Linked DNA regions of Cricetulus griseus. The protein of the gene in region 1 binds, or shares a complex with, the protein of each later gene. Links are inferred from orthologs where the notes say so. Each region holds a gene or a part of one and is shown on either strand. Other genes may lie near its edges. The genes, in order: Ruvbl2, Brd8, Pfdn6, Morf4l2, Asdurf, Epc1 and Anp32e.

Region 1 (3,500 bases):
GTCTGTAGGCTACCCCAGGGTCATCCCTTCAGTCCTCCAGGCTAACTTGCTAGCTTACCTTTCGTTTCCGGCACACCAGACTGGCTGCTGTGATGAGCTGGATGGCATAGCGCAGGGAGGTCTCTAGCCCAATGCGGGTCAGCACTGTGTAGGCGTCCTCACTCATCTCCACATCTTCCTCCTCACAGCTGTGGGCAGGCAGGCCTCAGCCAGACAGAATGGCACATCACCCCACCCATCCCCCCAAAGACACGTGACACATGCCTCAGAACCACATATGAGGGGCTCCCAACCCTACCCCCAGAACTCCCCCACTGGTAGGATGCCATACTGGTCTTCTCAGATGCAGAGGCCTAGGTGAATCCCTCCCATCCAATGTGTGTTCCTATAAAGGGGCCAGGGGTGCCCCACCGGATGCGTAGAATCTGCTTGGTGTCCTTCTCACTGTAGGGTGATGTTGACACAATGAGCAAGCGGTCTAGAAGGTCAATGGGGATGCCATGGGGACTTTGGTAGCTGGTGCCTCGGATCCTGGGGGTCAGGGAAGATTGTTAATGGATGCTCCTGGAAACCATGACAGCCATCAGTCCACTTGGGAGCTGAATAACTAACTATATGAGCACAGTCTCTTATCACCTGTAAGCACAGTCCTCCCCAGTAGTGCCAGTGGCTCTCCTGTACCCTGCTGCACAGGCAATTCTTGGTGGGCAATGGGACCCATAACAATTTGTTCCAGTCATAGGCAGTTTAGCCACAAATAATGATGCTGTTCTCCAGGAAGGTGGCTCAGGACAGCTGCCAGACTCCAAACTAGAGTCCAAGAACTAGTGCACTTCCGGGACTGGGGATTGCAGGTGAACGTCATGTGACAAAGGGATTAGAAGCAGCCACCTCCCTCAGAGACCTGAGGACTGGCTCCTCTGTAGGCACTGGTCTAAAGATGCCTCTCCTCTCACCCTGCCACCTTAAACCTATGGCCTTAGCAAGTCGATGAGTTTTGCTGGCCTAAGTGGGAGCGATGGAATGGGGTGAAGAGCAGAGCAGGTGAGGTTGCCAGGCCACAGCCTGTTGTCTACCCTCTACCTTTCTCATAACCACATATAACTCCAGTTCCAGAGGGTACGGCACACTCTTGTGGCATCTGTGCAGACCACATGCATGTGTGCATATATATAAACACACACAAAAGTGAGATGCTTAAGAACACATACTGTTCTTACAAAGGACCCCAGGTGGGCTCCCAGTACCCACAATGGGTAGCTGCTCATAACTGTTTGTCAATTTACCTGCAGGGAACCTGACATACTGTTCTGGACTCTGCACACACCTGAACTCACACTTACACATTACCCCCCGCCTACATACACATCACTCTTTAAAAAAACGGGGGATGGATGCCATGGAAAAACATGAGACAGGCTAATATGCTTGATGAAGCTCATGACCCACCACCAGCGGGAGTCTGGCACCCTGGGTCCTGTCCCTCCTGGGTCTCCAAACTCCAGCCCTCTTAACCTGGGAACCATTGCTTCAGACCTGTTTTTTGTTTGTTTGTTTGTTTGTTTTTGGGCGGGGGACAGGGTTTCTCTGTGGCTTTGGAGGCTGTCCTGGAACTCTGTAGACCAGGCTGGTCTCCAACTCACAGAGATCCACCTGCCTCTGCCTCCCCAGTGCTGGGACTAAAGGCGTCTGCCACCACCGCGTGGCTTGTTTGTGTTTTTTTTTTTTTTTTTTTTTTTTTTTTTAAAAAAAAAAAGGGTCTCATGTAGCCCAGACTAGCATAGAACTCAAAATCCCCGTTTCAGCCTACATAGTATTAGGACTACTGGTGGAGTGGGTGCCACCATGCCCAGAACTCCACAGCATCTTTAGATCAAAACTACTAGTCTGAGTGACTTGCCTGATCCCAGCAGTTTGTGACATGTCTAACAGATGCCCCTGTGCTCAGCACAGGGTGATTTCCTGGGGTATCTTTGGGTGTCTTGGTCAACAGTTCTGAACGACAAGTGGCCCAGGATTGTGGGGGCAACATACAGGGCAAACTTCAGAAGGAGGTGCTAGGTTAACCAACCATGGCACTCAGTCCACTTATGCTCAGGCTGCCATCAATCCCCTGATCCAGAGGGCCCCTTCACCCAGAAATCTACGGCTGCTCACCGGGTGATGCCTCGGTTGGTGGCCATGATGAGGACTGGGGCCATGTCACTCTCCAGGGCCCGGTTGAGGAAGGAGAAACTCTCAATATCTAGCATGTGGACCTCATCGATGAACAGCACCTAGAAGCCATTGGGGCACAGATCAAGCTCACCTCCACCCCTTTCCCCAGGTCATACCCGCCCACCTTGTGTCTAGCCACTCACCCCAGGGATGATCTCCGCCTTGCCCTCCTCCCTCCACTCAGCCACTTTGGCATTGATCTGTTCTCGGACTTCTGACTTGATCTCCCCTGTGTCTCCTGCCAGACACAGGGCACATCAGTGGAGATGGAGACTGGGTCCAGGATCCGGGGTGGGCAAGGACAGAGAAAGACAAATGCCACAGAGGAGGGCTCTACTGCTACAGCAGCAGGGCTAGGACCTGGAGCACTTTAGAAAGGACGGAAGGCCAGGCCCTGACAAAGGGTGTGAGGGCAATGCAGGGAAGGACAAACTCCAGTGGGAACAGAAGGCAAACAGCAGGTCTGGGAAGAAAGACTGAAGGGGCAGGAAAGCCGGGGGTTTGTTGTGCCAAGGGAGGAGAAAGAAGGGACACACCAGAAGGGGGGTACATCAGTTGCTGGGGACTGGTTGGGGAGGGACAGCTGACCTGAGAAGAGGGCCAGGAAGCCCTGAGTGCGGGAGTTGATGACGTCAATCTCATGGAGGGACACAGTGTGCACCACCTCCTTGCGTTTCTGCAGCTCCCCGTCTGGGCACTGCACAAACTTGGTCTATAGGGTTGAGGGCAGGTGTGAGGGCAGCAAGGGCACAGGCACCTCATGACGTCACAAAAGATATACAAACATCCCAGTGCCAGGTACCTGGGAGCCCATGGCATCATAGTCGCGAGCGCGTGTGAAGGAGCGGCCCAGCTTGGAAATCTTGCCAGTGGCCTTATCAATAGTGATCACGTCCCTGCAGGGGCAACAGCAAAGACTGAAAGGGCTGGGCAGAGGTGGCGCATACCCTTAGTTCCAGCATTCAGGAGGAGGCAGGAGGATCTCTGTGAGTTCAGGGCCAGCTTGGTCTACAAGCAAGTTGTAGGACAGCCAGGCAGAGAGACCCTGTCATGGAAAAAAAAACATTCTCACTACCCCAGCCACCTTCATGGTCCCAGTGGCTCACCCGGCCTGGACCTTGTCCTTGGTCAGAGACTCGATCATCTTGGTGCCCAGGTCATAGATGGTCTCCATCTCCGTAGTCTTGAGGGTCAGTTTGCCCACCTTAGATCCCTGAGGGGACACATCAGGAAACCCTTAGATGACCTCACCCCTTTGTGACCACAGCTTCAAAATTGGTGTG
Region 2 (3,500 bases), on another chromosome or scaffold:
CTTAGCTTAGTCTTAAGTAAGTAGCTTTTTTTTTTTTTTTTTTTTTCCTTCCTTTAAAAAAGATCCTGGGCTTTATTCTTTGTCCAGGTTCTAAATTACTTTATCTTACTTAGTCAGTTAAGTAGAGGGTAGTATAAGTGATAGAGGGCTCAGCACCTCCCCAAAAAAGTGTGAGGCCATTTCTAGAGCTAACCTAAAAACAGATCTCATTTAATAATGCTTTACTAGGTAGCTTTGCTTGCATTTGTTGACTAATGCATACTGTGTCTAAGGATGCTCCAGGTGAGGAGGAGGAAGAAGATGGAGTCAGTGAAGTAGCTAGCCTAGAGGAGCCTAAGGAAGAGGATCAAGGAGAAGGCTATTTGTCTGAAATGGATAATGAACCCCCTGTGAGCGAAAGTGATGATGGCTTTAGTATACATAATGCCACTCTACAGTCACACACACTGGCAGACTCTATCCCAAGCAGCCCTGCCTCTTCACAGTTGTGAGTATTGTGATTCTTTTTCTTAATTTTTAGACATGATCTCATGGGCTGGTGTTCAATTCATACTGCATAGCTGAGGGTGATCTTGAACTCCTAATTCCCTTGCTTTTGTCTCCCAAGTGCTGGGATTACAGACAGATTATAGGAGTGAACAACTGTAGGGGTGTTGGGGGTGGGGGCTGGTGTTTTGGGGCATTGAACTTTTGAATGCTAGGTAAGCATTTTACCATAGAGCCATACCCTAGCCTTAATTTTACTTGTTATTTTCCCTTTCTCGGCTTGAAATAATTAGTTGAAGAGAAATAGGACTTTTTTTTTTTTTTCTTTTAATGCTTAGTAGCGATCCTGTGTCTATTTCAGCTCTGTGTGTAGTGAAGATCAAGAAGCAATTCAGGCTCAGAAAATATGGAAGAAAGCCATTATGCTTGTATGGAGGGCTGCAGCAAATCATAGGTAAGCAGGCATTACCAACTCCTCATTATTGGCTTAGGAAATTATTTGAGTAAGCTATGAGACTGCTTATGTTGGTGTTGGTTCTAAGTACCTTCTGCTGCATAGAATAAATTTTCTCCTTTTGCTTCTGGAGAATAAATCAATGATAAACCTATTTTTGGACAGATATGCTAATGTGTTCCTGCAACCTGTTACAGATGACATAGCACCTGGCTACCATAGCATTGTGCAGAGGTAAGTCATAGTCTAACTAACACACCTGACTTATAATTTGTGTAGACTTAAGTGAATATTTGCTTTAGGTAGTAAATTTAAAGCAAGGATGTTTTGTTTTGAGACAGGGTCTCACTATATATAGCCCTGGTTGGCCTGGAACTCTATAGACCAAGCTAGCCTCAAAGTCACAGAGAATGAGTAATCCCTGCCACTGCCTACCCCATGCTGAGATTGTAAATGCTAGGGTTAGTGTTAAACTGACCATTGCAGTGGCTAGTTAGCATTAATAGTCTAAAAGAATTAACACCTTTCATTACTTTTCTTGATGCCTGTTATTCAGAGTGGCTTATGGGGGGATTTGAGTACATGCTTTGGGATAGTGGGTTGGCATTTAGATCTTGGTAGCAAATACTGAAGGTATATGTGAACAGGACTATATAGTGATACTGTATTCAGAAATTCAAGTGACTCCTCCTCCCCCCACAGCCAATTAGCTCTGTTTATATATATTTTTTTTAGACCTATGGATTTGTCAACAATTAAGAAAAACATTGAAAATGGACTGATCCGAAGCACAGCCGAGTTTCAGCGTGACATTATGCTGATGTTTCAGAATGCTGTTATGTATAATAGCTCAGACCATGATGTGTATCACATGGCAGTAGAGATGCAGAGAGATGTCCTGGAACAGATCCAGGTACATTGAGGCTCATTTTGTTTTCAGTAGGGACGAAGAATTCACTTTTGGTTGTAATAGGCATCAGGAACACAGATAAGTAATTTTTTTTTTCTTTTTTGCTTATGAAGTTGTATAGGTTTTATCAGTTTGATAGAAGAATTATGATAGAAATTAAAATGAATTGAGTTTTTGTTTTTTGCTGCTGCTGTTTAGCTCTTGTTGGTAGGGATCTAAACTGTTGTTCCACTTGAGCTGCCCAAATACCTTACCACTAAGCTACATCATGTCCCCACTGTACCCAATCTATTCAATTTGGGAATCAAGCCCAGGGAGAGATTCATGTATGTTAGACAGGCACTGTTCCATCTAAGCTATATCCCTAGCCCCTTCTGAAGTAGTGTTTTTGTTTTTTGTTTGTTTGAATCTTTTGTTTTTCAAGACAGGGTTTCTCTGGCTGGCCTGGAGCTCAATTTGTAGACCTCATGTTGGCCTCAAACTCACAGAGATCCACCTGCCTCTGCCTCCTGAGTGCTGGGACTAAAGTTGTACGCCACCATGCTCAGCTGCCCTTCTGAAGTTTTAAAATTCAGTTTTTATTTTGGTTTGGTTTTTGGTTTTTCGAGACAGGGTTTCTCTATGGCTTTGGAGGCTGTCCTGGAACTAGCTCTTGTAGACCAGGCTGGTCTCAAATTCACAGAGATCTGCCTGCCTCTCTCTCCTGAGTGCTGGAATTAAAGGCGTGTGCCACCACTGCCCAGCCTGAAAATCAGTTTTTAAGGGGTTAATGTTCTTTTTTAATTACGTAAAATATCCTGGCACATGTACTCAACCAAAAGAGTGTGTAATCCGTGTAATCCCCGTTTATCACAAAAGTCTGCTTTATTCTTATAGTTGTCTCACCACACACCCTTTATGATGCTGACTTTGTTAAGTCTGCCAAGTAACTTTAATTGCTAAAAGGTCTTTGGTTTATTTTATTTAAAAGGTACTTTTTGCTTCTAAATTCTTAAGGAATAGCTAGAATTAAGCCTTTAAAGTAAACCAAGAAGTATTGAATAGGAGAGTTGTATATAAGTTATAGTCATAAAACCTGCAGTATAATGGTTCTTTCCTACTGGATTAGATCTTTGTGGCCAAACTTTTTTCTTCTCCTTATAGCAATTCTTGGCCACACAGTTGATTATGCAAACATCTGAGTCTGGAATCAGTGCTAAAAGTCTTCGGGGGAGAGATTCTACCCGAAAACAAGATGCTTCAGAGAAGGTAAGGAGACAAAAATGAAGTCTAAAGCATCCAGAGAGCCTTCAGTTACTCTAATATTGCTAACCTTCTGCAAGCCAGTGGCATGCAAATAGATGTTAGAATGGGGGTAGCTTACTTCTGTCTAACTGTTGAAGAAATCTGCTGTGACTGAGAGGTCCAGTTAATGGGAGAGAGTTTGAGCTGAGTGAGTGAATTATTAATCCTCTAGGAGAGTGTTGTCTGGTGGGGGATAAAGCAGCTCACAGCATTTGATGACTAGCTCCTATGGGGTCCTATGGCAGGTGGCTGTGGGATCTTTCTCCTCTTTTTCTCAAGTTGGACATTTTTGTCTTTGTGCTGTGTGTGTGGTTCTTTTGTCTCTATCCTGAGTTTTGGGGTACCTGTGACCGAGTTTCTGTGGAA
Region 3 (3,489 bases), on another chromosome or scaffold:
CAGGAGGATCTCTGAATTTGAGGCCAGCCTAGTCTACAGAGCGAGCGAGATCTACGATAGCCAGAGCTACACAGAGAAACCCTGTCTCAAACAAACCAAAACAAACAAGTTAGATTCAAACCAATGCTAAGACAGCGGTGAAGACAAGCTAATGATCTAGGGCCCTTTGGGGACAAGTGCTCTTGGGTGACCACATCATATCCTGGGCTCTCAGGCTAGAGAACTGGGTTCTATGGCTAAACTGACACTTAACAACACACTACATTGCATCCTAAGGTTATATTTCCCATCTCAGGGTTGCACCAGCCAACATAAGGGAAGATAAAGGGTTATATGAACAGGCAAGAAACAGCTTGAGACATTTCAGACTCAAAAGAAGGCACATAGGCAAGAAGACCCGGATTTTAGTTCTCAGCACCAGGAAAACCACCACTGAAACACGGCCAGAGATTCCAGTGTCAAGAGCTCTATCTCAGGGAAAAAGAGTGTGTACAAGGCACTGGTTTTGTTTACATTTTATTGGCTATTCTAGTGTAGACCCTGGAGCTGACTCAGCCCTCCCTCCTCTCCCCCTTCCATGGGGTCAGGCCTTCCCAGGAGCCTTTGCTGCCTGGGCTCGCTGGAACTCCTGCTGCAGCTGAGCAAGGGTTTCCCTCTGTTGCTCTGACTGCCTCTCAAGGTCCCGCAGCTGCGATTCGTAGCGCTTACTGAGGAGGGAAAGGGGAGACAAGCAGAAGAGAGATCAGTGGGGGCTCACTGTTGCGCGGCATTGGGGGACTGATGGGAATTCCGAGGTTTGGGGGATGGGGGTGGCACACTGAGGGCTGGTGAGATGGATCAGTGGGTTGGACCGTTCTCCTCCGAGGCTGACACTTCAGTCTCCAGAACCCACGTGGTAGGAAGGAGCAGGCTGCCGCAGGCCGTCCTCTGACTTCACATGTGTGCCACGGACACATGTCCCCCCACCCCCCACACTCGTGTAACGTGGAAGAAAGGCTTAAGCGGGGGCGCCTTTAAGCCCATCCCTGAGGCCAGCCTGGTCTACACAGGGAGTTCCAGGGGAGCGGGGCGCTATGGGGAGCTACCCAGCACGGGGTAGGCACTCACATTTCGGCGGTGATGTAGTCCAGCCTCTTCCCCACCGTGGCCCGAGCCTCCCCTAGCTCCTGTTTGACAAGCACGGGCCCCAGGAGCTTGAAGACCACGTTGGATCCATCCAGCAAGGCCAGTTCCTGGAGAGGGGATGGGACGGACGGCTGATGAGCTAACCGTGCCCGGCCGCGTTCCTCTCGGCCCCGGCGCCCCAGGTCCTCACCTCCTTCACGATGTTATTTTCTGTTAGCTGTGCCTCGAGCTTCTGCCTCCCTGACATGGATTTGCTCAAGTCTGAGGTGGTGAGAGGAAACGCATGGTTAAAGGCATCAGACGGGCCGAGAACCGCACCCAGCACGGGCTCGAGACGTCACCGGGTCTGCAGCGGAGAGGCTGGGTCGGTCGGTGGTGGGGACGAGCAGGGCCCCCGACGCCAGGGGCGGCCCGCAGGGCCCCCGAGGGAGCACGACGTCTCGTGGGGTGTGCCTGAGCTGAGGGCGGACGGGGCAAGGCCACGCCGCCTCCGCTCTCTCTCTTACCCTTCTGCAGCTGCTGGTATTTCTCCACTTCTCCCTGCAGCTTCTTCTGGATCAGCTCGGCCATGGCGGGGCGGGGCGGTGAGGAGGGCGAGCCTCCGGGGCGGTGAGGAGGGCGAGCCTCCGGGGCGGTGTGAGGAGGGCGAGCCTCCGGGGCGGTGTGAGGAGGGCGAGCCTCCGGGGCGGGGCGGGGCGCTCGCGGGGACTCGAGCGAGCAGAGGAAGGCACCCGCGCCCCCCTCTCTGCCCTGCGCGTCCGCCGGCAGCTCCTCGAGGCTCCGCAGCTCTTCCTCGTCCAGGAGACACCCCTGGGAAGCGGGGGGCGAAAGCAGAACCCCAAACCCTCCCGCAAGCCAGACCCCCAACCTCCTCACGTTATGCCCACTGTCTAAACGCACCCGGAAGTAGACAAGGCATGCCGGGACAGAGACGGCGCCGGAAGCTGCGTTCTGACCTGTGGGAAACTCGTCCTACCGAAAAGACTGCACCCGAGGGGTTTTATTAGGCAAGGCAGAAAAAAAGGAACTCGTCGCTACCGGGATTCGGGGCCCAGACTTGCCTTTTAGTCCTCATTTGGTCCTCGGGCGAGCCTCTCCGCTCAGTCTGGCACAGGCGTGCCCTCACTCAAGATGGCGCCGGCGGCTTCAGACTCCCGTCCGGCGGTGATTGGGTGAAGGCCGTGGGACGCCCGGAAGTTTCTGAGAGGGCCGTGGGGCTGCCGAGGGCAGTTTCGCACGTGGATCGTTGTTTGGCGTCGGTCACAGCCGCGATGGAGACAGCTCCGAAGCCGGGCAGGGGTGGCCCACCCAAGGAGGACAAGCCCCAGGCCAAGAGGAAGGTAGCGGCTTGGGTGGAGGCGAACGCCGCCCTCGGGCTCGGGGCTTCCGATCGGGCTCGGGCTCGGGGCTTCCGATCGGGCTCGGGCTCCGGGTCCGGCGGGTGCGAGCCCTTGCCTCCTCCTGTGCCCCTAGAAGCCGCGGCGGTACTGGGAGGAGGAGGCCACCCCCGCCGCAGCCGGCGCCTCTCCGGGGCCGCCCCGGAAGAAGGCGAGGACTCGGGAGCCGCGACCCCCGAGGTCAAAGAGCGCGCACCCCGCCAAGAAGTCTCGGCTCCGCCAGAAGCCGCGGGCCCCGAAGGACGCCCCAGACCCGAAGAGGAGGCCGCAGCGGACCCTGTCTGGGGTGAGCCTGGGGCTGACAGGGTGGCCCCGCGCCTCTGAGGACCAGAGGAACCGGGCCCATCGAGTCTGCCCGTCTCCTTCCCCTCGCTAGGCCCAGGACCCGTTCCCGGGACCCGCCCCCGCCCCCGTGGAGGGCGCCCGGAAGTTCTGCCGAATTGACAAGTCCAGAACCGTGAGGCCGCGGGGACCGTGGGGAGGCAGGGACTGGAGGCTGGGTGAGGAGGTGGGTGGCGCCTTGTCTGCTGGCGGCCTTGCTGGCACCTCACGGATGCTCGCTCGGTGCGCCAACCTTGGCAACCATGCCGTAGCTCCCGCATTCGAAGCCGAAAACCCGGAGCAAACTTGAGACGGCTGAAGCGCAGGAGGAAGAGGCGAGCGTCAGAGCTGCCCGCGCAGAGCTGCTGCTAACCGAGGAACCTGGGTGAGCGGCCCCTGCCTTTCTGGGGCTTTGATTTTTGCGGGTTTTATGTTTGTAGCCGGCTGCATGCAGCGGAGCGTCACTTCAGTCGTCCTGACTGCCTTTCAGGTTCCTGGAGGGAGAAGATGGGGAAGACACAGCAAAGATACTGCAGACGGACATCGTGGGGGCTGTGGACATTGCAAGTGCTGCCAAGGTGAGCCGCGGGGGGGGAGGGAGGCTGTGGACATTGCAAGTGCTGCCAAGGTGAGCCGCGGGGGGGGG
Region 4 (3,500 bases), on another chromosome or scaffold:
ACCAAGTCCCAGTCCTCCACCAGCCATGGTTTTAGCTCTTCGGGAATCTTCACTTTCACTTCCATTCTATTCTTGAATGCTTCCTCACTCTCCACAGTGGGGTCAGCCCGTGCCCGTTTCTTCCGGGGGGGCTGGGGCACTTCGCTGGTACTGCCACCATCTCCGTTGCCAGGAATCTTCTGCTTGTTCTTCCTGGTCTTCCGCGCAGAACCAGAAGGGGGGTTCTCAGCAGAGCGACCGCCCCATCTTCCTGGGAGGGCTGGTTCAAGATTCTTTGGCTGTGAACCAGCCGACTTCTTTCCTGAGGCAGCTCCCCTCATCTTACTTCTCTGCATGTTGCTTCGAGTTGGCTTCTTAAAGTTGTCTTCTTCAGCAGATTGTTGTCCACGAGTTTGAGAAGCCTGCTTTCTGGAACTCATTCAACCCTGTTTTTATTCCAACCACTGTAATATATAAAGTATTTTATTTGGTTGTTTACTATGGTGACTTTGAGAGCCATCAGAGCACAACACATGCCAAAATCTGTTGGATATTGATTTCAGGTCCTATTTCTGGACCATTTATAAGTGCACTTCTATCCTCTCCTTTCTCTAATCCTTACTACCACCCACAAGCCTTGCCTCACCCAACAACTCATCAGACATGCCCACAAATTTGTTTCTTGATGCTATTTAAAAGACAGGGATTTAATTTTAGAGAAAGAGATTTTGACAAAACCATAGAAGGAAGTGGATCTGAAATTTAAGACTCTGGAACAAGAATAAGGATTTGAAAGTAATAAGCAAGAGTAGTTTAATGGGTTGCAGGTAAAAAGAATTAACAGTAAAGGTTTGCGTATCCAAGTGTAGGTAGGCCTTAACTAGTATTAATGGCAGTGAAGAGAAACACACACAGAGCAATACAATATTGAAGGTCAGAGTCAAACTGGGTTCTGAACAACTAAGCCTGAGTAGTTAATCAAAAGCAGGTTTTTAAGGATTAATTTGACACCACCAGAAAGCAAAATTAGTCCCATGATGGTTATTTGCATAAAACATCTCAGGGACTGCTTGCTGGAAGATGAAACTGCAGGTGTCAGTGACAACTTTCAGGTTTTGAGGATGGATGATTTTATTTGTATCATCACCAAATGAGATGGTATATATACAAGTAAACTGCTTAGAGGAGAAAGATGCTTAGCTTTGGACTTTTTCTATCTGGGGTGTGCACTTGAACACAGAATGTTCAAACTCAGGTCAGAGCAGAGATGGAGATTTCAGTAACTGCTGTAGAGCTGGTAGCATATACTATGAGACAGTGAACCTTTTCATTGAGAACAGAGGAATTTCACACAGAGAATTCTGGAAAACTTAAAAAAAAAATAAGTCTCCTGCTACTCTTATATAGCACAACTCATTAAACAACCCCCTTGACTTACACAATCTTCCTTCTTTCCCTTCCAAGGACTCCTAGTAATTTCCCAGATGGAATCTGACAGATCTCCTAGGATGGTCTGGAAAGATGAAGTGGGAATACAACCTAAAAAGGAAAGTAGGTATCTGAAATGAAGATGAACTTTTGTGGAAATATGCAAGAAAAAAATTACAAATGTGTCTTAACATATGAAGGAAAATTCTAAGAGATCTTGATTTGCCACATGGAGTTGGAAGAAATCAGACAAATGATACATGACAAACTATTTCTGGTTGTTACAGGCTGCTACAAGCATGCCACGTTATGGCTGAACAGCTAACTTAGAACGCCACAGAAACACTTCCCCACGTGAATGGAGATACAAAGATATTCACTGAAGTGGTATTTGTAACGGGAAACTGTGTACATTTACATATTCATCAGGGAGACAGTAATAAGAATTACATATGCCCACTGCAGAATACTCTATTTAAGCAGAGGCCCATATAGTGACACTAAAAGCTGTTCAATGTTTAGGCAAATAGGTAAGTAGCACAGAAAGGGAGCCTAAAATGAACAGATAGCACAGGAAAAATTAAGCACAATTCTTATGAGCAATGCAACCCTGTTTGTTTTAAAGAGGTGTGTAAATGTGTAGAACCTGACTCTTACATATTCAGGGAAACCTCTGAGAAAAGGATGACAGTCCAGCTTTAATTAAAGCCAGATCTAGCCAATCATGTGGTTAGGTGTCATGGAATTGCCAAGGAAAATTCAGACTTAAGAATTGCTTAGAAATGAAAGCCACTGGTGCTTAGGGTATTATGCAATTTATGGAAATATCCTTTAATTCAAAGGACAAAGTTCCATGCAGATAGTGAAAGGCAATACCAGCCTTCCAAACATTAGAACTGGCAAATACAGAAGCTAACCACGTAGGAATGAAAATCACTATTTTAAGACGTAAAAATACGCCCTGTAAAGGTTCTGTAGTGATGGTAGCTAGAAAAGCCATTATCTTTTAAACTCCCATGTTCACAAAATGCTATAGCTAGGGTTTTTTTCTTTTTTTAAAATGTAGAATTGTGAATAGGATAAAAAGGACCTTGGAGAATGAGTGAATTCCAGAAAGCCCACCCTGGGACTCACTATAACTATCCCATAAAACTAAAAAAAAAAAAATCCTAAAACAATGAAATCACCCAGGAACCATTTTGGATGCCACACTGATCATCAGCACTTCCTTACCAATAAACCTGAGAATGACAGCTGAATTTATGAAACATCCTTGTTATTAATTATAGTCTTACTCATTTTGTAAGAATTCTACCATTCATACACATTCCTATGCTAAATGCAATGCCTTGACATTTCTATAGGAAAGTCCACACATTGGGCAAAGTGTGTATGACCAGAGTAAATAAAAGCCAGGACTGACTCTACCTCCCAGGTGCTGGGATTAAAGCTCCTTGATGTGCCTACATGCTTAAGGACAGCCTTACTATTTACTATGCTCTGTACTCCTTTCCCAGAAGTTTAATATCACCCCAGGAACTTTAAAATAATGCCATTATATATTGGCACACAGTGCTTAAATTTTTACTCCATTTTGTGCGTCTCTTCCCTGCTCCCCAAATCCCACTACTAAATGTTTAGTTAGCATACCTACCTTTATTCAACTTCCTCTCCCTCGTTTATATATAAGTAAAGCCCCACTAGAGCTTGACCACTAGATGCCTACATGCTAGCTCTAGAACAATCCAAAGCATTTATAACATATTTTTATATTTGCCTCTACTTGTGTATTGAAGTATAGGTAAGCACAATGCATCAAATCTTGGATCTCATCTTTAAAAAAAATCCTTTAAAAAATCGTGTACCCATATGAAGGTTATAATATACATCTTTTGGGCTATGAAAGATTTTTTTTTCATTTTTCCAACACTCCAAGCTGGAGTGAATCAAGGCATAACATATTTAAGGCTTTTTAACATGGTGCTATATTGTTTTACCTTCAAAACCTGCAATAATTTACAACCCTAACAGTGAGTAAAAGTGATCAGTCACACTACACCCTCCGGTAAGCACCAGCAAATCTTTACTTTTAT
Region 5 (4,253 bases), on another chromosome or scaffold:
AATTTACAACATCAGGACATGATTTGCATAGTGATGCTCAACAATCCTATTATCACTTATTTTTGAGCTTCAGTAATATTCAAAACAGCAATTTATCAAATATAAACAGATACAAAGCCACTCGATACTTGCCACCTAGAAAGGGCTGTTTGCATAGTATGTGCCATTATGTCATGTTACTGTCAGTGACAAAGGCTACCACAGCCACAGGGTTATAATTTACTCTTATAAAACAACATGGAGACCTTTTCTGATCAATGAAGGTTCTTTATATTACCACACGGGCACAATACTATAGTTCTTTGCTGCTGTCAAACTTCAGACATTTGATAGAATGCCAATTCATGATTATTACAGATTGCCACTGCAGTTAAATGCCCATGTGTTTTCACGACTGTTTGTTTATTCATCAGTTACTCTAAAAGAAGCTCCAGGTCAAGTCTCATACAGCGTTTATACATTCTGCCAATCTGGTCTCCAGAAGTTTTGTATTAATTTGCCTTAGTTCTAATATTTCATAAATGACAATATCAGAAATGTTGAAAATGTCAGTCATTTTAAAATGCTTGAAAGAGAACAAAATCATTTCTTCATTTAAGATATATTTTTTTAACAGTAAAACTACACATGAGACAGCAGTTTATTTATGAACATGTCATAAAAAAGGAATTAAATAGGTTAAGTTCTTGGAGCATTAAAGTTTGCTGTGGAAAAGGAAGTAATTGTTTCTTTTTTTGTTAAAAATGTAATAGGGAAAGAATCCTGTCAACTTTGAGATTTACTGATACATGCAGAAAAACATGAAAAACAAACTAGGATACTTTAGTTTTAAATTAGTATGTTAGAATTTTGTAATTTTAGCATAAATGATCTAATTCCTGATTTTAATATACTGTATACTATTCCGGATTCCAACAGTAACTTACCCGATTCTTCTTCAGGTTAGAAAGTTCATCCACAAGAATTTTTTGTTCTTTAATCTATTAAAATAAAGAAAAACCTAAAGTAGACGTTTTCAAAGTATGTTTGGTGAGGAAATTCTGAATAATGGGACTGGGGGCTGTCACATACCACCTGTCTAAATGGACACTCTACAGGGCAACAACACCCAGCTGGACTCCGTGGAAAACAGCTGGAGAAGGAAAAGCTGACTTAGACTTGCCAGCTGCCAGTTACCACATGGCTTATACCTTAACCAAAGTGAGCCACTGTTCACCAAAATCAATACCCACCCTTTAATTAGTTTTATAAAGTTTTGTTGTACACTTTTTAAAAAAAGAAAATGAATGTGTTTCTCCCCTTCCCCAACAACAATTACTTTTCATGTATGTACTAGATGATAGCCAGACATTCAGATAAATAGTATTGGATGCCCTACCTGGGGAGATACAGCATCATTTTTCATCTTTGCATCATTCTGTTTGCATGGCAAAGACTGCATACTGCTGTTATCATTAAGCTAGGCTTGTTTGTGACCATCAAATGAATGCCTAACTAGGCAATAACTAATTTAAGTAACCACACACCATCACACACAGTAATAAGAAGCAAGGTCTTTTTTAAAACTCACACCCGCCCTAGTGAGTATGCATCCTTATGTCTCCACGATGGCAGAGGTGAGAGTTATAGTGATGAACTACAAAGCCACACGAGTTCATCTTCCTTGAGACTCAAGTCTGCTTGTATGGTGTTTTATGTTCATTTTAGGAAAGACAGGTAGACATCTCACTTTAGCTGACACCAAAGAAAACTGTGATACAGTGGGAATAAGGTCACTAACCCAAGATGTCACTTGGGACAGAAAAAAAAAAATGTAGAATTTAAAACGTTTAATACTCTCCACTATACATGTTTAAAGACTGTCTGTAATTGGAAGTTAAGATTAATGGTATAGTTCAGCAAGGTGGTGCAACCCTGAAATCATGGCTGTCAGGCAAGAGAATAAGGTCATGCTCCCCTCTCAAACAACAGTGTTTGCGCCTGGCCTGAGAGACACGAAAGCTCAGGAAGGAAGAAAGGAAGGAAGAAAGGGAGGGAGGGAGAGAGGGAGGAAGGAAGGAAGGAAGGAAGGAAGGAAGGAAGGAAGGAAGGAAGGAAGAAAGGAAGGAAGGAAGGAAGAGAAAAGGGGAGGGAGGCAGACAAAGATTAACTTGCAAGAGTCCTACTTAGAGACCATCAGATAAATGTATTTTAGGATCACAGTGGAGGACACAGGCAGCTGGGGACACCCTGAGTCAGAACAGCCAGTGACAGCGTCTGGAAGGACACTGGCAGATTTCTAAACTTTCGGGATGGATGTCAAGGATGGCCCCCAGGCGGGTGCGTAGCTAACAGGGTGAAGCAGATCCACAGAGCAACAGATCCGCGTGAAGGGAAGGGGGACGGTAAGGGGACAGCCCCACCAAACCTCCGCCAGTGTCTCTCCCCCCCCCCCTTTTTGGGGGACAAGCTTCTGTGCCTCCCTCTCTGCAAGTCTGCAGGAAGGAGGGGCAGCCTGAGGCGGGTGCCAAGAACCGACTACGGAAGCGAGGAGCACGCCGCCGGGCTGCCGGGCGCCGCCGGGAACCCCAGCCGGAAGGCGCTCCCCGGCCACCCACCGCACCTTGCTGTTAAGGGCCTCCGTGCGTGCATCCGACTTGTAGGGGGGCACCGGCGCGGCGCGATAGTCTGCTCGTACCCCACTTCGGGGCATCTCCACGCCGGGTCGCACGCCGGTGAGCCCACGGGGATGCACGCCGGTGAGCCGCCGGGACGGAACCGAGGACAGGAAGCCCTGATCCGGCGTGCGAGCTCTCAGTGGACCCGCCCCTTCCGGCATCCCGACCAATGGAGTACGCACACTCACCCCTGCGCAGTAGAGGGCGGTTGGGGGAGTATGGGTGGGAGACTAGACATAGTTATGGGCATGCGCAAACTGGTTTGAACTAAAGGCACAATTGCCTGGTTGCGGAGTTTATGAAGGCTCTGTGTCGTCCCCTAGCGGATCCGATGTATAATAATAATAATAATAATAATAATAATAATAATAATAATAATAATTATTATTATTATTATTATTATTAAAAGGTTCAGGTGAGCTGAGTGGAGACATGAGTATCTGGATCAGTCCAGGTGAAAGCAAAGATATTTTGAGACCAGGTGTGGAGGGGTATAGAGAAAAAGGCATCCTTAAGGTCTAAAACTGAGAAGTGAGATGTCGGGGGGATAGTAGAGAGGAGTGTGTAAGGGTTAGGAACCACAGGATGGAGGGGCACTACCATAGAGTTACGGAGGTCCTGAACCAGACAAAAAGTCCCATTAGGTTTTTTTACTGCCAGTATAGGGGTGTTAAAGGGGGAGGAGGTAGGACGAAGTAGCTTTTTCCTTAGGAGGTCAGAGATAATAGGTTTAAGTCCCTTAAGGCTCTGGAGTGGGAGTGGGTACTGAACTTGAGCAACGTACCTAGAGGGGTCCTGTAACTGAATGACAAGGGGGGATGGTGTCTAGCCACAGAAGGGTTCTGGTAGACCTTGGGGTCTACCTGAGAGGCTGGTAAAGGAAATGACGTACTGGAACCTGTAGGGTGAGTAGCTAGGAGGAGGAGGAGGGGAGCCGCTGGCGAGTCTGGAGTTGGGCGAATGTGGGGAGCAAAAGAAATAGAAGCTCCTACCTTAGCTAGAAGGTCCCTCCCTAGTAAAGGCACAGGACAAGTCGGTATAACCAAAAATGAATGAGTAAGGGGAATCCCCCTAAAAATACAGCTAAGCGGTGGAGTCTGCTGAGGTAAGTAAGGCTGTCCTCCTACCCTGACAATAGGAAGACGAGACAGAGAGGTGGGTCCCCAAAACTCCTTTAGGACTGAGTATGTGGCACCAGTGTCCAAAAGGAAAGAGATAAACCGCCCTGATACTTTAATGTCCACCCGGGGCTCCCTTTCAGAGATGATGGTGGTCGGGTCAAGAGAGCCTGGGCCCTGTCATTCATAGTCCTCATCCATAGCCAGGGCTAAGAGATCAACTGGAAGGCCGTCTGTGTTTGATGTCCTCTTGTCACCTGGGACACGGGGACAGACCACTGACCAATGGCCTACTTCCTGGCATCTAGGACATGGCTTGCTTGGTGCATGGGGGTTCGGGCAACCCCGGGCCCAGTGTCCTTTCTGACCACACTTGAAGCATGGACGCTGCGGTACTCTGGCCCCAGAGGGCAAGGGATCCCGGGCAGATGCTGAGTCCAGTCAGACGGCTTCAGCTAGCATCTGGTATCTGTGCTTA
Region 6 (2,629 bases), on another chromosome or scaffold:
TGCAAACCCTCTCTAACCCTTTATATAATTGTGTATGTGCCTATGTGCGCCAGTGTGGAGGTCAGAGGAATATCTTGCCCGGTTTGGTTCTCTCCCTCTACCAGGTGGATGCAGGGAATCAAACTCAGGTTGTCAGACTTGAGGGCAAGCACCTTTACCCACGGAGCCAACTGATTGATGTCAGGGCTTTAAATCTGGGTCCTAATGAGCCTCACAAAGGAAGTCAGATACAGGACTAGTAATCAGAACACTAGGGTTGTCTGCAGGGATCCTTGGAAAGTCCACTGACCTCTAGGAATTTGTTTCCTGCTTTTAAACAGAGACAGGGATCTGAGAAGTCCCATATACCACAAATGTTCCCATATTTGTACAATTCTACAGCAATGAAAGTCATGACAGTTGGTGATGGAGGAAGAAGGGGAACCACAGTCCACCCATTAGCCATGACTAGACCAACAATACATACTGGTACTGAGCAGAGAGGGACCTGTGGGTGTGTAAAGTAAAGGCTACCAATAAGCTGCTATAAAATTGCTTTCCCTGCAACTCCCCAACTCTTGGCTAAAGAAATCTTAATGTTGGTCCAACACAAGTTGCTTGTGTGGTCTGCCCTCCTCCTGTCATTCCTTTTCTATTAAGCTTCCTAAGTCCCTAGGAAAACCGAGTACTTGTTAACCACTAAACACTTGCATTTCCCCAGCGTTATATTTCCGTTTGCCAACTCCAACTTCTAGAAATGCCCCTTTTCTTCATCCAATCAATTATTACTCCAGGTGGAATTAGATATTTTCTAGAACATACTCAGAATTACTGTGGTGTAAAAAGATTTCTCTTTGTTTTCAAATGATAGTCATTGTCTATATAATGAACTGGACAACATAACAGTGCTTTAAGATACATCCAGAATAGTTTTCACCGGCACCGTCTCTTAACATTAGCTTTCATATTTTAGGCTATTTCTTGCTAATCTGAAAAATGCAGGTCTTTGTTTCTTTTTCTCCTAGTACCTTGCAGCAGTGGGGTTTTAATTATAGTTGATATTGAAAGTGTGATACAGCCTTAACAAAATGCTAAACTGTCTACTGAAATTCAAGAAGGCGAGTGACCAGGGAAACAATGCCTCAGTTAAATGTCACCAGGCAAGGATGCCATTTCCACTATTAAGAGTAACTTGCAGGAAGGTTTACCAATTCTGCTCACACAGTAAACTACAGACAAAACCAGCAACACAAACATCCTAAAGAGAACACCTTCCACCCAAAGGCTGGGGAAGAGTGAGAACATTCTAAGTAAGTTATTGCTGCATTAAGAGAGGGAGACCCTGGGAGTTAAGAGCACTGACTGCTCTCTTCCAGAGGATCAGATAGGGTTCAATTCCAAGCACCCACATGGCAGCTAGCAACTTTCTGTAACTCCAAGATCTGACTCCCTGACACAGACATACATGCTGACAAAACATATGTATGAGGCCCAAGTCACATAACTATCACTATCTCAGTGGACTGGCTCATTCTCAACTAAAACTGAATTCAACTGACAGAATTACAGCATCCACATGCTCAGTTTTTAAATAAACGAGGGTTTCTTATATCTACACATTTTGAATACATGGAAGGAAAAGCAGAGAAAACTCGGGGACAGCCACTCCAGAAGGCTGAAGTTAGATGTCTTACTTTTCAAACATTTTTTTTTTTCCATCTAAAAAAAAAATTTTTTTAATTTCATTTTGCATTCCAATCACAGTTCTCCCTCCCACCTCCCTGCCCTCGACGGCCTCCCTAACCCACCCCCAGTCCACTCCTCCTCTCGGGTAAGGGTTCCCATGAGGAGTGAACATAGACCAGCACAATAGGTTGGGGGAGTGGGCTCCAACAAGCTAACTCATGTACTGGGGATTATATTGTGGTCCTACTGCCACTGTGCATGGCATCCCACTCTAAGGAATGGGCTCTTTCCTAACATTTTAAACTTAGAATAACTACTCACCTTGGAACTGAATCTACAGAGGATGATGAGGGGACCTTGGAAACTTGACAGTTTGCCGCGGCAGCCAGCTTTAAGGCAGATGACGGAACAGCACTTAAAGTCCTAGGTATATGTCGTGCATTTATTGGGGCGATAGAGTTTACAGTGGGGACTGATGAAGGTACAGTTAATCGAATGTTGTTCCCAAACAGAACCTGAGTTGTTGCAGAATTGGCAGCAGTTACTTGATGACTCAGTGCACTGTGGGAACCCGAAGTCTGTGTGATATTTGAAGGCTGTAACAAAGTTGAACCTGCTGTCGACGGACTCGTATGCACAAGCGCTGTTGGTGTAGTGCTACTGAGGTGTAAGCCCTTGTATACTCCTGGGGAGAGAAAGGGAGCATGTAAACACTGCATTCTGTGTCTGTGCCACAATGTGCACAAATATGTATGCACAGCAAAACCACAGGGCCACGGAGATGTCTCTATCCTCACCTGAGGCTGGAAGGACGCCATTCACCCCAATCCCAAGCACCACATCATCCTTCATCTTGAATCCCATCAGCTGTTCTGACGTCATCAAAGCAGAAGCAGCAAACTGCGCACTAGCAGAATCCAAAGTCTTAGAAACAAAACCCTGGAAGGAGAAAACAAAAGAAAAG
Region 7 (3,500 bases), on another chromosome or scaffold:
TTTTTTTTTAAAGATTTTTATTTATTTATTACGTATACAGTCTTGTGCCTGCAGGCCAGCAGAGGGCACCAGATCTCATTCAAGGTGGTTGTGAGCCACCATGTGGTTGCCGGGAACTGAACTCAGGACCTCTGGAAGAGCAGTCAGTCAGTGCTCTTAACCGCTGAGCCATCTCTCCAGCCCGGTTTTTTCTTTTTGAGACGTAACTCCTGCTATTCTGGAACTCACTAGCTAGCCTTGAGATCTATCTCCTGTGCCTCTGGGTGCTGGGATTAAAGTTGTGCCCAGCTATTTGCTCATCTTTAAAATGTTTTTTAAAGATGGAGATGAAGATGAGGAGGATGAGGAAGAAGATGAAGCTGGGCCACCTGAAGGATATGACGAGGAGGAGGATGAGGAGGAGGAGGAGGATGAGGACGAAGCCGGTTCAGAAGTGGGAGAGGGAGAAGAGGAGGTGGGCCTTTCATACTTAATGAAAGAAGAAATTCAGGTGAATGGAAACTTGATATTTGTACACAAGGCTGAGTACTGTAAAGTGAGTTGTGCGTTATTTCCTAACTTGTGGGTAAGCATCTGTCCGTCTTCTCTTCCAGCTTCCTACTTACTGGACGCTCTATAGTGTATCCAGACAGCCATGAACACTTGGTGGCTTTTTTAGTTTTTAGTTCAAGGACAGTTTTATTGAAAAAACAAAACAAGAAACTCCCAGGGTAGGCAAGCTCTAAGTCCCAGCAGCTCCCTGGAGGAGAATGGAGGGGAGAAGAGAAAAAAAACCAAAGCTGGCATTGAGGTCAGACACACTTTGGACAAGCAGTCACGTGGCAGGGAAGGGGGCTTCAGAGAAGGAGTATGGAGACCCCAGTTATCAGAAAAAGTATTGGTTTTGGCCAGCATCCAAAGAGAGAAAGAAAAAGGCAAAGTTGCCTCTTTCTGACTTGGGTGGGCTTCAGATGGGCAGACTCAGCCAGATGTCAAGGTGGCTCCATTAGAACTGTCATTGCTTGTTGCTTTTTATCTCAGATAATTGATTCTGCCCCCAGTGCCATGGGATGGTGAAAACATTTTATGAATCTGAGTCTATAAAGTACCTAGTTCCTTGTTGGCACATTATAGACACTGCAGAGTCCTGGAATAATGTGTTCCCTCCAATTATCTCTTCTTGCTTTATACTTCTGCATCTCCCAGTAGCTTTCCTCCTCCTTTTTTTTTTTTCCAAGAAAGGGTTTCTGTGTGTAGCCCGCCGTCATGGAACAAGCTGTGTAGCCCAGGCTGGATCTCAATGACAGCTTAGAGCTATCCTCTACAGTGCGCCTTTATAGTATGCCGATGATAAGACCAATACTTGCCTTCTTGATAGATGCCACAAAGCATGCATCATTATCTGTAGTTTTTCTTAGGTAGTGATGGTTAGGTAGATAATATCTGATGAATGGTTCTTATTTTCCTGATACTATTTTTAAATTTGAAATGAATTACAATTTGTTATTATACAATGCTCTCCCTGCATGTATCCCTGCAGGCCAGAAGAGGGCACCAGATCTCATTACAGATGGTTGTGAGTCACCCTGTGGTTTCTGGGAATTGAACTCAGGACCTCTGAAAGAGCAGCCAGTGCTCTTAACCTCTGAGCCATCTCTCCAGCCCTAAAAATTGCACTTTGAAGTGTATGAATGTGTGGGGATGGACTTATTTTACTCTGTACCCCAGGCTGGCCTTAGACTCATACACTGCATGCTGCCATTGAATTTGTGGCGGTCCTCTGACTTCTGCCTGCTGAGTGCTGGGATCACACAGACATTCACCACTCCTGTTTTAAAAGTTACTTTCAACCAACTGTGGGATAACTTACATTTAGGTATATTATTCTACTGAATGTTTGGGAATATTAACTCAAAATGACATGGCCAAGCATTAATCAGAAATCTCTGAAATATATATAGCATTAAGTTTGTGTGGGGCCAGGAAGCATTTTCATTCTAGATAGGATAGTTTGGGTGTTCAAAAATGAAGTCTTAGCTTAGCTAGGTATGGGGTAGGTCATCACCATAACCCCAGCAGAGGGTGAGGCAAGGAGTTTAATGATAGCATAGGCTACCTAGTATGCTCTAGGATAGCCTAGGCTACAGAGGAACCTTGTCTCAGAACAAACAAACCAATAAACCCAAAAGTTCTTGTTTTTAGGAGCTAAGTGCCAGGTAAGCATCAGACTTCTGGTAATCAAAAATAAATAAGAAGGAAATGGCATATTTGATTATGCATTTTATTTTCCTTAAAAGTTATTTATTTTTATTATGTATGTGTGGGTATTTTGCCTACATGCCTGTCTGTGTACCGCCTGTGTGAATGGTGACTACGAGGCCCAAAGAGGGCATAGTATCCCTTGGAGCTGGAATTACAGCTATTTGTGAACCAAGTGCTGGAAGCAGTACCTAGGTCCTCTTCACTATTAATCGGTGAGCTATCTCTACAGGTGGTTATTTTTCCCTTTTCAAGATGGGGTCTTATTGTGTAGCTCAGGCTGTCTTTGAACTCATGGTCCTCCTGCCTAAGCTTCATAAGTGCTGGGATTACAGGCTTGTGCCATCACACCTGGTTTCTTGCTTATTTATTTATTTATTTATTTTCCAGACAGGGTTTCTCTGTAGCTATGGAACCAGTCCTGGAACTCACTTTGTAGACCAGGCGGGCCTCAAACTCACAGAGATCCTCCTGCCTCTGCCTCCCGAATGCTGGGATTAAAGGCGTGCGGCACCACCGCACTGATAAAGATTTATTTATGATGTGTACAGTGTTCTGTCTGCATGTATGCCTGCAGGCCAGAAGAGGGCACCAGGTCTCATTACTGGTGGTTGTGAGCCACCATATGGTTGCTGGTTATTGAACAGCTAGTGCTCTTAACCTTTGAGCCATTTCTCCTCCAGCCCATCTTATTTTTAAGAGAAAGAGAGAGAGAGGGAGGGAGAGAGAGAGAGAGAGAGAGAGAGAGAGAGAGAGAGAGAGAGAGAGAGAGAGAGAGTGCACATGTTGTATGCATGCATGCATGCATGTTTCTGTTTTTGTGAGTGTTCATGTTTGTGAGTATGGGTCGTGACATGCATGGGGAGATCAGAGGACAGCTTTAGATATCAGCAGGAATCAGGACTACAGGTGTACATTGCTGAACCCAGCTTTATGTGGGTTCTGGGGAATCCAATCTCTGTATGATCACATTCTGAGTCATCTGCATGAAATAAGACACAAAGTTGAGTAGTAGTGGTGCACCACTGGAGAGATGGCTCAGCCATTAAAGGCTAGGCTCATAACCAAAAATTTTTCTTACTTGTGTATATCTTTCTTTCCTTCTTACTCTGCGGTGGTGGCTGGCCCTGACGTTTTCTTATTCTCTTGCTGCTGCTTTTTTTCTCTTTCAGTTTATACTCCCTGCCTGCCAGTCCTGCCTATCCTCCTTTCTGCATCTCTGTTGGCTGTTCAGCTCTTTATTAGACCGTCAGGTGTTTTAG

The links.
Region 2: Ruvbl2 (region 1) and Brd8 share a complex: the UniProt entries of both Homo sapiens proteins name them as parts of the nuA4-related complex. The link is inferred for Cricetulus griseus from reciprocal best matches to the Homo sapiens genes RUVBL2 and BRD8.
Region 3: Ruvbl2 (region 1) and Pfdn6 share a complex: the UniProt entries of both Homo sapiens proteins name them as parts of the PAQosome complex. The link is inferred for Cricetulus griseus from reciprocal best matches to the Homo sapiens genes RUVBL2 and PFDN6.
Region 4: Ruvbl2 (region 1) and Morf4l2 share a complex: the UniProt entries of both Homo sapiens proteins name them as parts of the nuA4 histone acetyltransferase complex. The link is inferred for Cricetulus griseus from reciprocal best matches to the Homo sapiens genes RUVBL2 and MORF4L2.
Region 5: Ruvbl2 (region 1) and Asdurf share a complex: the UniProt entries of both Homo sapiens proteins name them as parts of the PAQosome complex. The link is inferred for Cricetulus griseus from reciprocal best matches to the Homo sapiens genes RUVBL2 and ASDURF.
Region 6: Ruvbl2 (region 1) and Epc1 share a complex: the UniProt entries of both Homo sapiens proteins name them as parts of the nuA4-related complex. The link is inferred for Cricetulus griseus from reciprocal best matches to the Homo sapiens genes RUVBL2 and EPC1.
Region 7: Ruvbl2 (region 1) and Anp32e share a complex: the UniProt entries of both Homo sapiens proteins name them as parts of the SWR1-like complex. The link is inferred for Cricetulus griseus from reciprocal best matches to the Homo sapiens genes RUVBL2 and ANP32E.

What each region holds. Positions count from the first base shown.
Region 1 is NC_048599.1:154,327,824-154,331,323, forward strand, and holds part of Ruvbl2 (ruvB-like 2), read right to left. Parts: intron 3,431-3,500; coding exon 3,324-3,430; intron 3,114-3,323; coding exon 3,020-3,113; intron 2,930-3,019; coding exon 2,806-2,929; intron 2,456-2,805; coding exon 2,361-2,455; intron 2,277-2,360; coding exon 2,158-2,276; intron 532-2,157; coding exon 412-531; intron 189-411; coding exon 59-188; intron 1-58. UniProt on the Homo sapiens protein: Possesses single-stranded DNA-stimulated ATPase and ATP-dependent DNA helicase (5' to 3') activity; hexamerization is thought to be critical for ATP hydrolysis and adjacent subunits in the ring-like structure contribute to the ATPase activity.
Region 2 is NC_048595.1:202,872,978-202,876,477, forward strand, and holds part of Brd8 (bromodomain-containing protein 8), read left to right. Parts: intron 1-272; coding exon 273-487; intron 488-847; coding exon 848-940; intron 941-1,105; coding exon 1,106-1,174; intron 1,175-1,675; coding exon 1,676-1,853; intron 1,854-1,880; coding exon of another isoform or gene 1,881-1,932; exon of another isoform or gene 1,933-2,336; intron 2,337-2,993; coding exon 2,994-3,098; intron 3,099-3,500. UniProt on the Homo sapiens protein: May act as a coactivator during transcriptional activation by hormone-activated nuclear receptors (NR). Isoform 2 stimulates transcriptional activation by AR/DHTR, ESR1/NR3A1, RXRA/NR2B1 and THRB/ERBA2.
Region 3 is NW_023276806.1:232,074,232-232,077,720, reverse strand, and holds Pfdn6 (prefoldin subunit 6), read right to left. Parts: upstream 2,006-3,489; 5' UTR 1,696-2,005; coding exon 1,632-1,695; intron 1,387-1,631; coding exon 1,316-1,386; intron 1,233-1,315; coding exon 1,108-1,232; intron 708-1,107; coding exon 584-707; 3' UTR 501-583; downstream 1-500. Other genes in the region: Wdr46 (WD repeat-containing protein 46), read left to right, coding at 2,397-2,465, 2,599-2,808, 2,899-2,979, 3,116-3,228, 3,334-3,421. UniProt on the Homo sapiens protein: Binds specifically to cytosolic chaperonin (c-CPN) and transfers target proteins to it. Binds to nascent polypeptide chain and promotes folding in an environment in which there are many competing pathways for nonnative proteins.
Region 4 is NC_048604.1:43,664,635-43,668,134, reverse strand, and holds part of Morf4l2 (mortality factor 4-like protein 2), read right to left. Parts: intron 1,519-3,500; 5' UTR 1,418-1,518; intron 444-1,417; 5' UTR 420-443; coding exon 1-419. UniProt on the Homo sapiens protein: Component of the NuA4 histone acetyltransferase complex which is involved in transcriptional activation of select genes principally by acetylation of nucleosomal histone H4 and H2A.
Region 5 is NC_048595.1:402,525,059-402,529,311, reverse strand, and holds the start of Asdurf (ASNSD1 upstream open reading frame protein), read right to left. Parts: upstream 2,801-4,253; 5' UTR 2,693-2,800; coding exon 2,603-2,692; intron 981-2,602; coding exon 927-980; intron 1-926.
Region 6 is NC_048596.1:208,120,077-208,122,705, reverse strand, and holds part of Epc1 (enhancer of polycomb homolog 1), read right to left. Parts: intron 2,605-2,629; coding exon 2,463-2,604; intron 2,351-2,462; coding exon 1,987-2,350; intron 1-1,986. UniProt on the Homo sapiens protein: Component of the NuA4 histone acetyltransferase (HAT) complex, a multiprotein complex involved in transcriptional activation of select genes principally by acetylation of nucleosomal histones H4 and H2A.
Region 7 is NW_023276806.1:60,578,861-60,582,360, reverse strand, and holds part of Anp32e (acidic leucine-rich nuclear phosphoprotein 32 family member E), read left to right. Parts: intron 1-320; coding exon 321-490; intron 491-3,500. UniProt on the Homo sapiens protein: Histone chaperone that specifically mediates the genome-wide removal of histone H2A.Z/H2AZ1 from the nucleosome: removes H2A.Z/H2AZ1 from its normal sites of deposition, especially from enhancer and insulator regions.